Drosophila melanogaster: one gene and its partner. The protein of the gene in region 2 interacts with the protein of the main gene of each other region in a pairwise test. Each region holds a gene or a part of one and is shown on either strand. Other genes may lie near its edges.

Evidence for each region. Proteins that work in one complex are often made in the same cells at the same time.
Region 1: the proteins of BORCS6 (region 2) and RecQ4 interact in a two-hybrid assay, tested with the Drosophila melanogaster proteins (one large-scale study listed by BioGRID).

What each region holds. Positions count from the first base shown.
Region 1 is NT_037436.4:8,169,938-8,178,171, forward strand, and holds RecQ4 (RecQ4 helicase), read right to left. Parts: upstream 6,042-8,234; 5' UTR 5,920-6,041; coding exon 5,818-5,919; intron 5,765-5,817; coding exon 2,595-5,764; intron 2,532-2,594; coding exon 1,791-2,531; intron 1,729-1,790; coding exon 1,553-1,728; intron 1,494-1,552; coding exon 1,177-1,493; intron 1,116-1,176; coding exon 882-1,115; 3' UTR 703-881; downstream 1-702. Other genes in the region: Nmt (N-myristoyl transferase), read right to left, coding at 6,489-7,702, 8,186-8,234.
Region 2 is NT_037436.4:538,823-543,008, reverse strand, and holds BORCS6 (BLOC-1 related complex subunit 6), read right to left. Parts: upstream 2,159-4,186; 5' UTR 2,069-2,158; exon of another isoform or gene 2,008-2,068; 5' UTR 1,969-2,007; coding exon 1,581-1,968; intron 1,525-1,580; coding exon 1,050-1,524; intron 993-1,049; coding exon 947-992; 3' UTR 862-946; downstream 1-861. Other genes in the region: Cypl (Cyclophilin-like), read left to right, coding at 157-239, 332-779.

The sequences.
Region 1 (8,234 bases), 7.6 Mb from region 2:
CGAAATTGGAGTAAAATTGGAGGCAAGGTCAGCTTGCTGCTCGATGGCTTCGCTGGCCATCTGCACAATGTGGATGATCATGGAGCGAGGATGATGACGTTGACGTCTCACTCTCAGAACAAACAAGTTGTAATTGGGTCGACTTTTGTGTACTCGAGTCTCGTTTATGATTATAAACAACATCGGCACGAGAAGCCAAAGGCCTCACAAAATGGCCAAGTCATAAAAAACCTTTATCAAACGCTTCGCTGATCCGACAACTTCAATGATGTTTCTCTGTTTCCAGTTGTCTGTGCCCTGAGTTGTTGTTAGATCCCCCCATTTGTTGGGTTGTTTGCTTCGCGTTCGTGTGAACTGAGGAAGGACGACCTTTGGCTAGGCTTCGATTTGAAGATGACACCTTCGACCGGGGTTATACATTTCGTGATGTTATTGGGAATGACTCAGCCGGATGTTTGTTTCTTTACGGGCTCCATCGAATTGATTTCTGCTGTTTCATTTGAAGCCGTAGCTGCAATTTGCCTCTAAACGAGCTTGGCATTTGTTTACTTTATTTTAGTGCTCTGTTGTTTTCGGCAATGAAATTATCATAAATTGTTATTGTTCCATTGGCGTGGGATTGTATGGTGCAAATTTATTAGCTAATGAAACACATAGATTTAGAGAGTTTAAAAACCAAGCTAAAAATTTAGATTGTCCGTACGAATTTCTCTTTCCACTCATAATAAGTACAAAAGCTGTTTATATAGAATTTGTAATTTATTTTTGTATTATCAGACTTGTGCGAGTAAAATGTTATTGAATGGCATCACATATTTTTAAAATTCTTGGAGCTATTAATTGGTTAACCATGGTATCGGCGGTTCATCCCGACATTACGGTCACGTACGCCTCTTGATAATAGCCATATTGGCCAGGTGCAGGATGCGATTGAAATCCACTTTGACGTGGGCACGCCAGAACTTACAGCGTCCCCAGATGACAGCCGGATAGTTCGGGCTCATGATGCCATGAAAGATGCGCGCAATATTACGTCCGGTAAATGTATTGTCCGGGTACATGTTTATTAGAGCATGAACGTCGTCTATGATGTTCTCATCCGGCACGTTACTTGGCTAATGGACAGAGAGGAAAGCAATAAAAGTAAGAAATTGAAATGTGTTGCCAAGCAATTACCTCTATTTCCAGCTCCAGATCCTGTGGGTAGTCATTGGCAAAGTAGTTGCGCACGATAGCCTTTAGCTGCTCGCCCCGATCCTGCGGAAAATCCGCATTGCAGCACTGGCCACAAGAGCTGTAGGCCACAGCAGCCAATCCATGGGCCACATATTGCAGCTGGATGAGCTGCGTACGCTCCTGTTTCACGGATCGCGTATAGAGAGTGTCCAGAGCGTTGTCGATCTCTGATTCGGTAAAATCGCCCGGCACCTTGATGCGGAATCCCAAATCATAGAAGCTCACCGTGATGGGCGATCGCTTGGGATATCCATTTACTATCGAAAAATTAATTTCTAATTAAACGGATCCTTTTTTGAACGGATTACCATCTCACCTTTTACCCACTCCAGATCCTTCAGTTGGTATTTGACCACACCACTGTTCCAGCCAATTCCTGCCGCGATATCTGTGACCGAGAATTCTATGATGTTAGAGTCCTCCTTGAATGTCTTATCTCTAATCTGCAAAGCAATAGCCATGGCCAATGGTGGACATTCCTTTGCAGCATGCCTGTGCAAGGAAAAACCAATAACATTAAACACATACACAATACACGTGTCTAAAGGACTTACTTCAAGTACTTTGGCCCACCATACGAGATTACCTTAGCCATCACATATGCTGAGCTGAGCACACTGATGCACCATCGGGGATCAAGCTCCATGTAGCAGAGCAAAGTAGATATGTTCTCCGCCGGGATGTCCAGCATCTCAACGGTTTTCTCCACGGAAAAGCCAATCTCGTGTCCCGGACACATATGCACTCTAGGACCATCACCTTCAAGGGGAATCGGAAGAGCTGTCCTCTTGGAAGCCTCCTTGTCACAGCTACATGGCACAAAGATCTTTTGCAGCAGCTTACGGATAACATGCCGATCAATGGAGTTAGAATACACATGGCGACGCAGCTCACTCTGGTCGCCACCCTTCGCATCCAAGAAGAGGTGACAGTGGGAAGGCAACCCGTCGCGTCCTGCTCGACCAATTTCCTGCACATAGCTCTCAAAGTTTCTTGGCATATTATAATGGATTACCGCGCGTATGTCCGGCTTATTGATGCCCATACCAAAGGCAATGGTGGCCACCACAATGCGCAGCTCATTGCTCATGAAGGCCTTCTGAACGGTTCGTCGCCTGGAAGCGGGCATTCCAGCGTGATAGGGCTCAGCCTGCCAATTCACACGTTTACGTTTTTTCGTCTGATCCTGAGTTGGCTCCCTACGGTCTTGCACGCACGTTCTAATAAACCCAGCGATACGCTCACACTCGTCACGACGCGTACAATAGATAATAATGGACTGGCAGGGCTCGAAGCTAGAATGATCAAAATGTATTTAAGTCTCCTTCAAGTTTCAAAGATGGTGGGCCAAGTCTTACCGTTCGCTATTGAGCAGTTGGAGCAGAGCTGCATCCCGGTTCTCATCCTTGGAGACGGACAGCACTAGATTGTCAGGCAGTGGGATGTCGCTTATAATACCACGTTCTCCATCCGATATGCCAAGGTGATTTATAATGCTAACACGCGTTGGCAAAGTTGCCGTGGCTGTTAGCCCCAGCACTGTGCGTACACCGAGATTCTTTCTCAGCACCTTGCAGATCATTAGGTAGCTGGGTCGAAAGTTGTGACTCCACTGAGACACGCAATGCGCCTCATCAATACAAGCGAATGCAATGGGCGGCAGCTGGCGAAGAATGGCTCCAAATCCTGTGGCTCGTTCCCCGGCGACAACCGCCTCCGGAGAGACAAGAAGAATGTCAATCTCCCCATTGGCAATCATCTGCTGAATCTTCATACGCTGCGGCGCGGTCTGATTAGTGTGCAGGCAGTGAGCTCGCAGAAAGTGCGGCACCCCGGTCACCTGATCCTCCATAAGTGACACCAATGGTGAGATGACTAGGGTAATAGCTCCCACTTTCCGGCTATACAAATAGGCGGGCAATTGGTAGCACAAAGATTTGCCGCTGCCCGTGCTAAGTGTAACTAGCGATGATAGTCCAGAGAGAGTGCGCATGATGGCGCGATCTTGACCTTTCCTGAAGTTGGTGTGCCCGAACATGTGGAGTGCCTCTAGGACCTCTGGCGTCGTGTCCTGGACACTGCCATCCGGAAGGAGATCGTATAGGGGCTTCACCCCACCGTGCTGGCTGCGATTCGAACTAGAGGCTGTGGTGTCCAGTCCAGCCTGCTTGAGGAACTCCTCGGGAATCTTGTGGCCGACGTATGTCTTAATAGGTGAAGCTGCTTTCTCTTGCGAAACCGGTTGGCTTAGGGAAGCTTCGACGGCCGCATCTAGGGCCTCGAAATCAACGTCCATTTCATCGCTAGACCAATTTGGATCTGGATGCTGCTGTACCTCCTCATCTCCGCTGCTTTCTTGGTCATCTTCCTCTGACTCGTTCAACTCATCGCCTTGCAGGATGGCTGCATTGGCCGCTTGGGGCAGCCGTGAGATGTTGCGACTGTGTGCCACCACTGCTCCCTGACTGGCCATCTCCTGAGCCTCGGCAAGCGTGGGAAACGGCGAGGGATCCTCTTCCAGCTGTGCCGAAAGTGGCAACAAGCTGTCTCCCTTCACCTTGCACTGCTGAGCGAAATGCCCGACTCCGCCGCACTGGAAGCACGTGAGCACTCCGCCATCACAGCCACCCATATCCATGTCCGGCCCACTCAAGGCAGCCACTCGTTTCTTATGCCGCCACTGTTGCTTCTTGTACTTGCTGAAGTTCACGGACTTTTTGCCACGCACGAATTTTTTCTTTTGAATATTTATGGTCACAAAGTTCTCGTTTAATTTACCAGCTGCTATGCGTTCCTCCAGCTTCTTTCGTGCTGCGGCTCTCTTTTCATCCACTCGAATGTTGGACCCTTCCGACAATCCTGGGTTGGGTCCAGCGGCGAAGGTTCTAATATAGCGCTGGGCGGTAGCATCCGCTTCTTCTAGATCCTGCACATTAATGCGCGGAACGGAGGTAATATCTCCCGCCTCCAAGGCCAACACGTATTTCAAATCTTCTGGATTCAATGGTTGGCGCTCATCCTCTTCTGGATCAGGAGCCGGCTCGACAGCGATGGCTTTTTTAGAGTTCCTCGGCTTTTTCTCCGCCTTGGGTTTCTTTTCGGCCTTGACTTTGGCTTTCTTTTCTGTTTTCGGTTTTGGTTCCGCTTTGGGCTTAGTGGTCTTTTGTTTTCCGGCGGCTTGCTTGCGCTTTGCCTTATCTTTCTTTTTATTCTCTGGTACATATGTAGCATCCTGGTCTTCATCTGCAGAGAAATCTGGATTCTCTTGAGCAAATGTTTCTGTCTCTGGTTCGACTTTGTTGGGAATTTCAACTGGGGCGGCTACTTCCACTTTTCCTGATGCTGTTGAAACAATTTTGCGACGTTTTGATAGTTGCCGATATTCTTGTGGTTCCTGCTCTTCTTCACTCTCAGCCACAACAGAGTCGGAATCCGAATCGGTTTCCTGCTCGGAAGGTGGAGGTTTATTTTTAGGAGCGACTGATTTTTGACTGGATGCAGGAGGTGTGTGATTAAGATGATCTGGTTTCTGGTTCATGCTAGAATTCATATCTGTTTGCAGCTCCTGTATGATTGCCATTTGATCGGGCTTGGCCTGCAACACTTTTTCCTCCTTAACAGTGGGCTTTAGTTTACTTAAATCAAGATTGGCCAGGCCAAAGTTTGTTTTCTTGGACGTACCACTGTTATTATTTGCTTCCGCAAAGGGCACTTCTTCATCAAGAGTGTTTTCCTTTGTATTTCGCCGGAGCCAGCCGTCGTCCACCAGTGTTTTGATACTTTCCTTGCTGTGCTCACTGGCCAGCATTGGATTGTTAGCTATGGCCTGCTGCTTCTCCTTGTACTCCTGGGCTTTGCGTATGAGTATGGTCTCAAAGTCGAGCAGTTCCTCGTGATGATCAGTAGGAACTGAGCTAAGTGATGTGGTGGAACTAGAGGAACTGACACAACGTGAAAGCGGCTTTCGGGGATTTCGTTTAGCAAAACCGCGTGAGGATTGGAATAACTTGGCACTCAAGCTGGGCTTAAGACTAGCGCCCGCTTTGGGTTGCTTTCCGTGCCCCGGAGCGGATTTGGAGGCCTCTACAGGCTGTGGTGGAGCTGGTGGCTTCTTACTCACATTCAAGCCCCAGGCATTTTGGTTGATTGGCAGCTCCTCCACCGCCTCGAATTTGCGAATGACATGGTTTTCATCGCGATTGACCAGATTGGTGAGTACTTGACGATTGGGCAGGTCGATGAGATTTGAGAATGAGCCCTCCACCGATTGTGGAATTTCCTCAAGATTACCAGAGCTCTGCGGCCCCACCAGTGCAGATATATCCAACGGTAGCTGAGGACCTTCATTAAGACTGACGTCCTGGTCCAGCATGCTCACACCGAAATCACTGGCCTGCGACATCTCCAGAATATCGTATCCATCTTCGCTGAGAACATCGTTCAGCGTCTCTTCCAGGAAGGATGTCTTCAGTTTGTAGTACATTTTGTATGAGTCCCGAATCTCCTGACTGGCGTCCCTTATATCATACTGCAACAGGTCAACCAGTTAGCATACTTGTCATATCCGCATCCCAATCTCACCTTCGATGGAACACGGCCATTCTTCTTCTTGAAGTCCTTCTCCCACACCTTGACGCGCAACTTGTACTTTTGGTATTTTAGCTTGAACACCGAATCGTCCATGTCGGCGGCTGTCTTTAATTGTCAATATTATGAGGAAACCAACATTGGAATCAGATTTCGTTAACTAATAAACCAACACAAGTGCAGCTGTTTTGCTTAGCGCGCGCTTTTTCACCGACCTTGCCAGACCAATGGCCATGTGACAGAGTGGCCAGACTATCACATGCTGGGACAGTGGGCAAAAATACAATAATCTGCTTAAAAAAAATAAAAACTTGTCATCTTTAAAAGAGCAGCAAAATAATTTATTGTCAATTATAGGCAATAAAGGTCCAAGTAAACGTTACATTTTTATTGATATTGCTGCGCATTTTATACAATTTGTGTTCGTTCTTGTAGTAAAAAATATCGAAGCTTGGCCGTTGCAAAATGCAATTTTCACAATGATGCTATTTAGGTGTATGCTCGCAAAGGGCTTTCCTCGCTGGAATAACTGAAGATTACAGGTAATAGCTACGTAAATAGGAGCAAAGCAAAGCAGCCGCACGGCACTTCCAGCAGGGTGAAGAAAGCGGAGGAGGGGAGCTGTGAAAGGCAGGGCGAGAATGTGAGCTTAGGTGACAAGGTGACTACATGAGTATCAGAGCAATCTCCTCCGGCTGCATCGATGGACAGCGCCAATTGTAGAGGTAGTACTGCAGGTTTCCATCCCCGGCGCCGAATTTTAGCGGTGCAAAGTACTTCTTGTTCTCCATGAGGTCGAGGGCATTGTACACGTCCATCTGGACATTGCGGGCCGAGATCAGTGCATCGTTCATCAGGTCCAGCCACGGGGTCTTTGTAGACACATTATAGAACGAATATGCGGCACGAACCGTCTTATGCACCGGATGGTGCATCACGGACGATGGCAGGCAGTAGTAGCTAGTCAGATCAGTGATGTTGCCCTTTTCGTCGGCAACCACGAAGCAATCGATAATACCTTCTTTGGGGGTAAACCAATGACGAAACTCTTCCTTGCTGAACACCGGGCTCAGCTGAAAGCGCTTTAGGTAGTCCTCCAGCAGCTTGTGGGCCTTGTCCATGTCCTTCGCTGTGATTCGGCGATAGCCCTTCGTCTTGGGCTGATCGGGTAGCTTGTACAGCTTCATTGTCCGCTGCATGGTCATGTTACGTGCGAGATGAGAGAAACGCACGTCTACCAGCTTCTTGGGATTGAGCGATCGATGCCAATAGCGACAGGTGGCCACTGGCGTGGGCAACACAACTCCAGCTGTATAGGCCGCCTGGAAAATCCCCGTCAGATTGACGCGACGCGTTATCTCCCGAATCAGGACTGGAGCCACCCGTTTGCTGCGCAACTTCTTGTGGACGCATAGGAAGTTGATGTCCACAACCTTTAGCACCTTGTCGTACGACTTCAGCTTGCTGGGAATGGCTGAGATGAAGCCAACCAGTTTGCCGGACTTCTCCACACGAACGCCAACATGCCAATCGCGTTTCCAGCCAGGTGGCTGCAGCGACCACTTTAGAAACTCGGGTTGGTAATCGAAACGGAACATGGCATCATCGTCCTCCACATAGTTCTCATTGAGCAGCGTGTACAGCTCCTTGAGATCATTGGCGTCGTTCAGGTCTAGTGTCACCCATTTGAAGCCGCCTGGCAGAGTGTATGGCAATGCTCTAATCTCACTAATTTCCTTGTTCGGTTCAATGCATTCGTTGGTGGTCACCTGCTCGTCCAGCTTGGTGACTGGCTGTGTGGACCAAAATGCAAACTTCTTGGCCATCTGACGGGTGCTGGCCATAGCATCGGAAACGGCTTGTAGCAAGGCCTGTTTGCCTGAAAGAAACGATGATGCGTTGAATAGTATTATAACATTTTTCGATTAGTTTAAACTGGAATGACTAATCTGCCCCAAAAAAAGCTTAAGGCATCACGACAGTGGACTAGTTTCCCATGACAACAAATTTGCCCAATTTTGGGGTTTCAATGAAGCATCAATCAATGGAATCAACAAGGTAGAAATCTTATATTACACATATTTTATTCGTAATAAAAAACTCAATTGTATCTATGTAAGTATATTCATATTTCATCAAAATCAAATATGTATTTATGATTTATGAGTTGTTTATTTTTCCGTTAGGGCTAATCTTTGGAGTAATTGCACAGAAAATGAAAATTGAAAATTGAATTGAAATGAATAGCACAGCAGTTCAAGTTAGAGAGGTTGGACTGTAGTTCCCGACAAAACCTAACCTCATTTTTTCAGCCGCAGGAGGAGCCTCTAAATGACTTTTCACAGGCATATTGAAAACTTACTTGCATTCGCAGACACTGAAGCCTCATTCTTGGCACCATCAGGCTGCTC
Region 2 (4,186 bases):
TGCGTCTATATACTATACTATATATATACCAGAAGTATACCGCAGCAGTTCAGGGTTGCCAGGCGGCCTAAGTGACTACGCTTAAGCTGGTCACTCTGACTCTGCCGGTTTTAACAATTTTACTGAAGTCTCGCTAATTTAACAACAAATATAGTTATGCTGTCCCTAAGCGATCCCAACAATGCTGGTGGCATTCCCGACAAGGCGTGGCAGCCGCACTTCGTGACCCTGGAAACGAGGTGAGTCCGGAGCTTGAATGCTCGATAATCGCCGAAACTGAAGACTGAGCATTTGTTTATCACATTATTTGTGGCATTTGTGCCCCGCGCAGCATGGGAGAAATCACCGTGGAGCTGTACTGGAAACACGCGCCCAACACCTGCCGCAACTTTGCCGAACTCTCGAGAAGGGGCTACTACAACAACGTGGTGTTCCACCGGATCATCAGGGACTTCATGATCCAGGGCGGCGATCCCACGGGCACTGGCCGCGGAGGCGCCTCCATCTACGGATCGGAGTTCGCGGACGAGCTGCACGGCGACTTGAGGCACACGGGCGCGGGCATCCTCTCGATGGCCAACTCTGGACCGGACACCAACGGGTCCCAGTTCTTCATCACGCTGGCGCCCACGCAGTGGCTGGATGGCAAGCACACGATCTTCGGCAGGGTCTACACGGGCATGGAGGTGGTCAAGCGGATCGGCATGGTGGAAACCGACAAGAACGATCGCCCCGTGGATCCCCTAAGGATCATCAAGGCCAAGGTGGAGAAGCTGTGAGCCAAGGAGGTGGATTTTTTGGAGGAACTGCTAGAATAAGTACGATTTAAACAAGCGAAAGGTATCTTTCCATATGGATTTTATAACACTGATTATATGTATTTACGGAATGACTAGAAAGACAAGATCTCTTTGATTGGTTGATCACAGGATAGCGTAGCCCTATTTTACATGGTGCTGTCCAACATGTCCACCAGCCGCTTGATCTGCCTTCTGCGGAAGAGAAAGTCCATTACACTAAAGGGATCTGTCTTGAATTGACCCACTTACATGCGCTGACCCAGCTGCTCTGTGGGTTTCATCGACTTGGTGATTTCCTCCGCCTTGGCCAGCAATTGGTACTGGCACTTGATATTCGCGTCCAAAGTGTCCGTCAGCTTGTTGACCGCGTTGCGATGGACCTCCACGTTGTCGGCCGTTATGGAGGAGATTGAGTGCAGCAGGTTGCCCAGGTTTTCCATCAGATTGTCCACCGAGCTGGCCAAGTACTGAGCCTCCAGTTCGATGTCGCTCAAGACGCTGCCGTCCACTTCGGGAATGTTGCGCGACTGCAGGAACCGCCGCGTGAGCAGACCGTTGCCGGAAGTGGCTCCAATGGGACCCATGGAGCTCAGGGGCGTGGTGTGCTCCGAGGAGTAGGCCGAAGCCGCCACGCGCTCGCGCAACTTGGCCTCTAGATCGTGGGCCACAAAGTGGCGCATCCCGTCGGAGTCACTGGTTTCGCCGTCCAGCTCGTAGGGCACAGCTGAAAGAAGGAAGATGCTTTAGTCAGGAACTATGGGTAGATAACCTAGAACCCACTGCTCTCTGCCTTCAGTCTGTGCCTTTCGATGTCGCCGGAACTGCCCTTAGAGTTGCTATTCGAGTTGCTGTTGTCCTCCTCCTCCAAGGGATCGTCTTCCTCGTCGGGATCCTCGCCCGAATCCAGGTTAAGGTATTTCTCGCCGTTGGGTCTTGTCTTTGTGCTTCCGGGAATCGCAGCATGGCCAGTGGCTGTGGGCGTCAGATCCTGGAGCACGTGCTCTGGCACCGCTCCCGGATACTGAGCCAGGAACGGAATTTCCGTGTAGGAGGAGGCGGGCGTGGCTCCGGATCCAGAACTCCTGGCTGCCCCTTCCGATGGGCCACTCTCCTCGGCCACATAACCGTAACGTGGGCGGATGGGAATGTCCTGGTGGCGGTGCGACATTCTGCACTGCTCTTTTCAATCCAAGGAACTTTAGGCAGACTAAGAAATGTATGTCAATTTTCTGAATGAAAACCAAAACAAAGCATTTACTGGTATATACCAAATGGTTATCGATAACATCTATTTATCGAATGTATTTGCATTAGGCCCTGTTCAGGCTGAGGTCCACCTTACCTATATCGAGCCTTTTTTACGTAGGATTGACCTATGCAACTTGATGTGCGTAAACTATATTTTCCTAACCCTGATGGAAATTTCGGTTTTAGTGAGAAACAGATTTCAGATGTTATTTGGTTGAGTATATGACAGTTCGATAGTATCGCACACTTACTCTTCACGATTTTGCTTTTACCAAGAAATGGTCACACTCCAGCTCGCACTATCGAGTCATCGATAGGACCGATAGGCCAGCCCGTTAAATCGAAGACAGTCGTGTTTATAATTTGCGGCTCCGAGGTGTGCGGCGCGCATTGGGCAGACTGGAGTGAACTAAGTAAATCTGCAGCGTTCTAATTTAATTGCGCGATGAGCGCGTAAAAACACACCTGCGTAGCGCTGCAATAAAACCAATGTAGATTTTTGTTTATATGTTCGCGTTTCCATCGTATTTTTCGAGTCTTATTCGTTTTAATTGTTAGTGCTCGTACGCTAAGTGAATTGCTAGCAACTTGGGGCTAAAAGTGCCAAAAAGAGCCAGAATCGAAAAGAAGCGGCTAAAGAGGAATAAGCGAAAAGGAAGCAACGAAAACGGTGTTTTGCTCTCTTTCTCCTCTCTCATCCTCGCCATGTGTGTGCGTGTGCAAATGTGTGTGTTGGCGTCGCTAAAAAAGTGCATGTGAAGATTAGGAAAATAATAAGGAAGGCAACGAAAAGTAAAATAAAATTTGATGTACAAAATACGCAAATTGGTGACAAACAATGTACAAGTGGCATACATGAAATAAAGTTTTATGCAAAAAAAACAAAATCGACTGCAGTGCGTGCACTTGTGTGTATGTGCCGCTGCATATGTGTATGTGTGCAGTGTGGAAATAAAGCAAGAGAGAAAAAAAAACTGTTTGCAGCCGGGGTACAAATTCCAATTGGAGTCTCAAGGAGCATAAATTCCCATTCGACGCATGCGTGGCTGCTAAAAAAAGCAAGTAAGTTAAATTGTTTGTACTAAAGAATCTTATAAAATGCAACTGAAAATGGATAAAAGTGTAAAAAAAAGGAAAGACTTTTTTGCCTTCTCTGTTTTCTACGGGTACGTACGAATGTGTGTGTGTGTGTGCTCTCTTCTATTTTGTTCTTGACTTCTTGTTCTTTTCTTCTTCTTGGCCAGTTACTCTTATGCTTTGTCTTTCTTCTCAGGCCGTTCTGCTTCTTTCTTTTAACTGCAAATTGTGCAGTCAGCAAGTATGAGAGCGAGAAAGAGACAGCGATCTTTCTTTTTCACCCACCCACTTCTTCCCCTCTTCCTCTAGCGGTTATATTCGCTTTATTGTATTGGTGCTTTTCCTATCTATATCTACCGTTATGTTTCGATTGCGATTTCGTAATAACTGCGATAATATTTGCTCTCTCTCGCTCTTCTTCTCTTTCGGCTTTCCACTCTCTTCCCTTTTAGTTATGTGTGTGTAACTGCACATTTGAATTGTTGTTGTTTTTATTAAAATGCGTGGGTTGATTTTTCAATCAATCAATCAATCGTTTATTTTGGCATCGATAATATGGAAAAGTGGATTGATATGTGGACAAGAAAAGCATGTGATGAATCAGGAGAAAGGAATTACTCGATAATTAGCTTCTAACTTTTATATTCTGTAAAAAAATGTATTTTTAAACGTCTAAATCCAATAGGAAAAACAAGCAAGTTGGTCGAAAATAAAAGAACTCAATTTCTGGATCCTTGTTTTGTTAAGTATTTCCCTATTTCGCACTTTAAATTCCATTCCATTTCTATAAACAAATGTTGTCGCACTCTTACTGTTTATTTACATCGCATCGAAGAAAGATTTTCCATTTTCATGGGCGACACTTGAACGGGGTTTTCTCTGGCCTTTTCCCACAACCATTTCCTCGTCGAGCACTTAAATGAAAATGCTGTTTTTATTTATTGATTTCCATATTGCATTCATCTCGCGTTTTCCCGCTCGCCCACTCGATGACCCGCTGACCCAGCGGGAAATGGAAAATCGTTTACTGCAACATTTTACTGGTGCCCTCTTCCTAGATT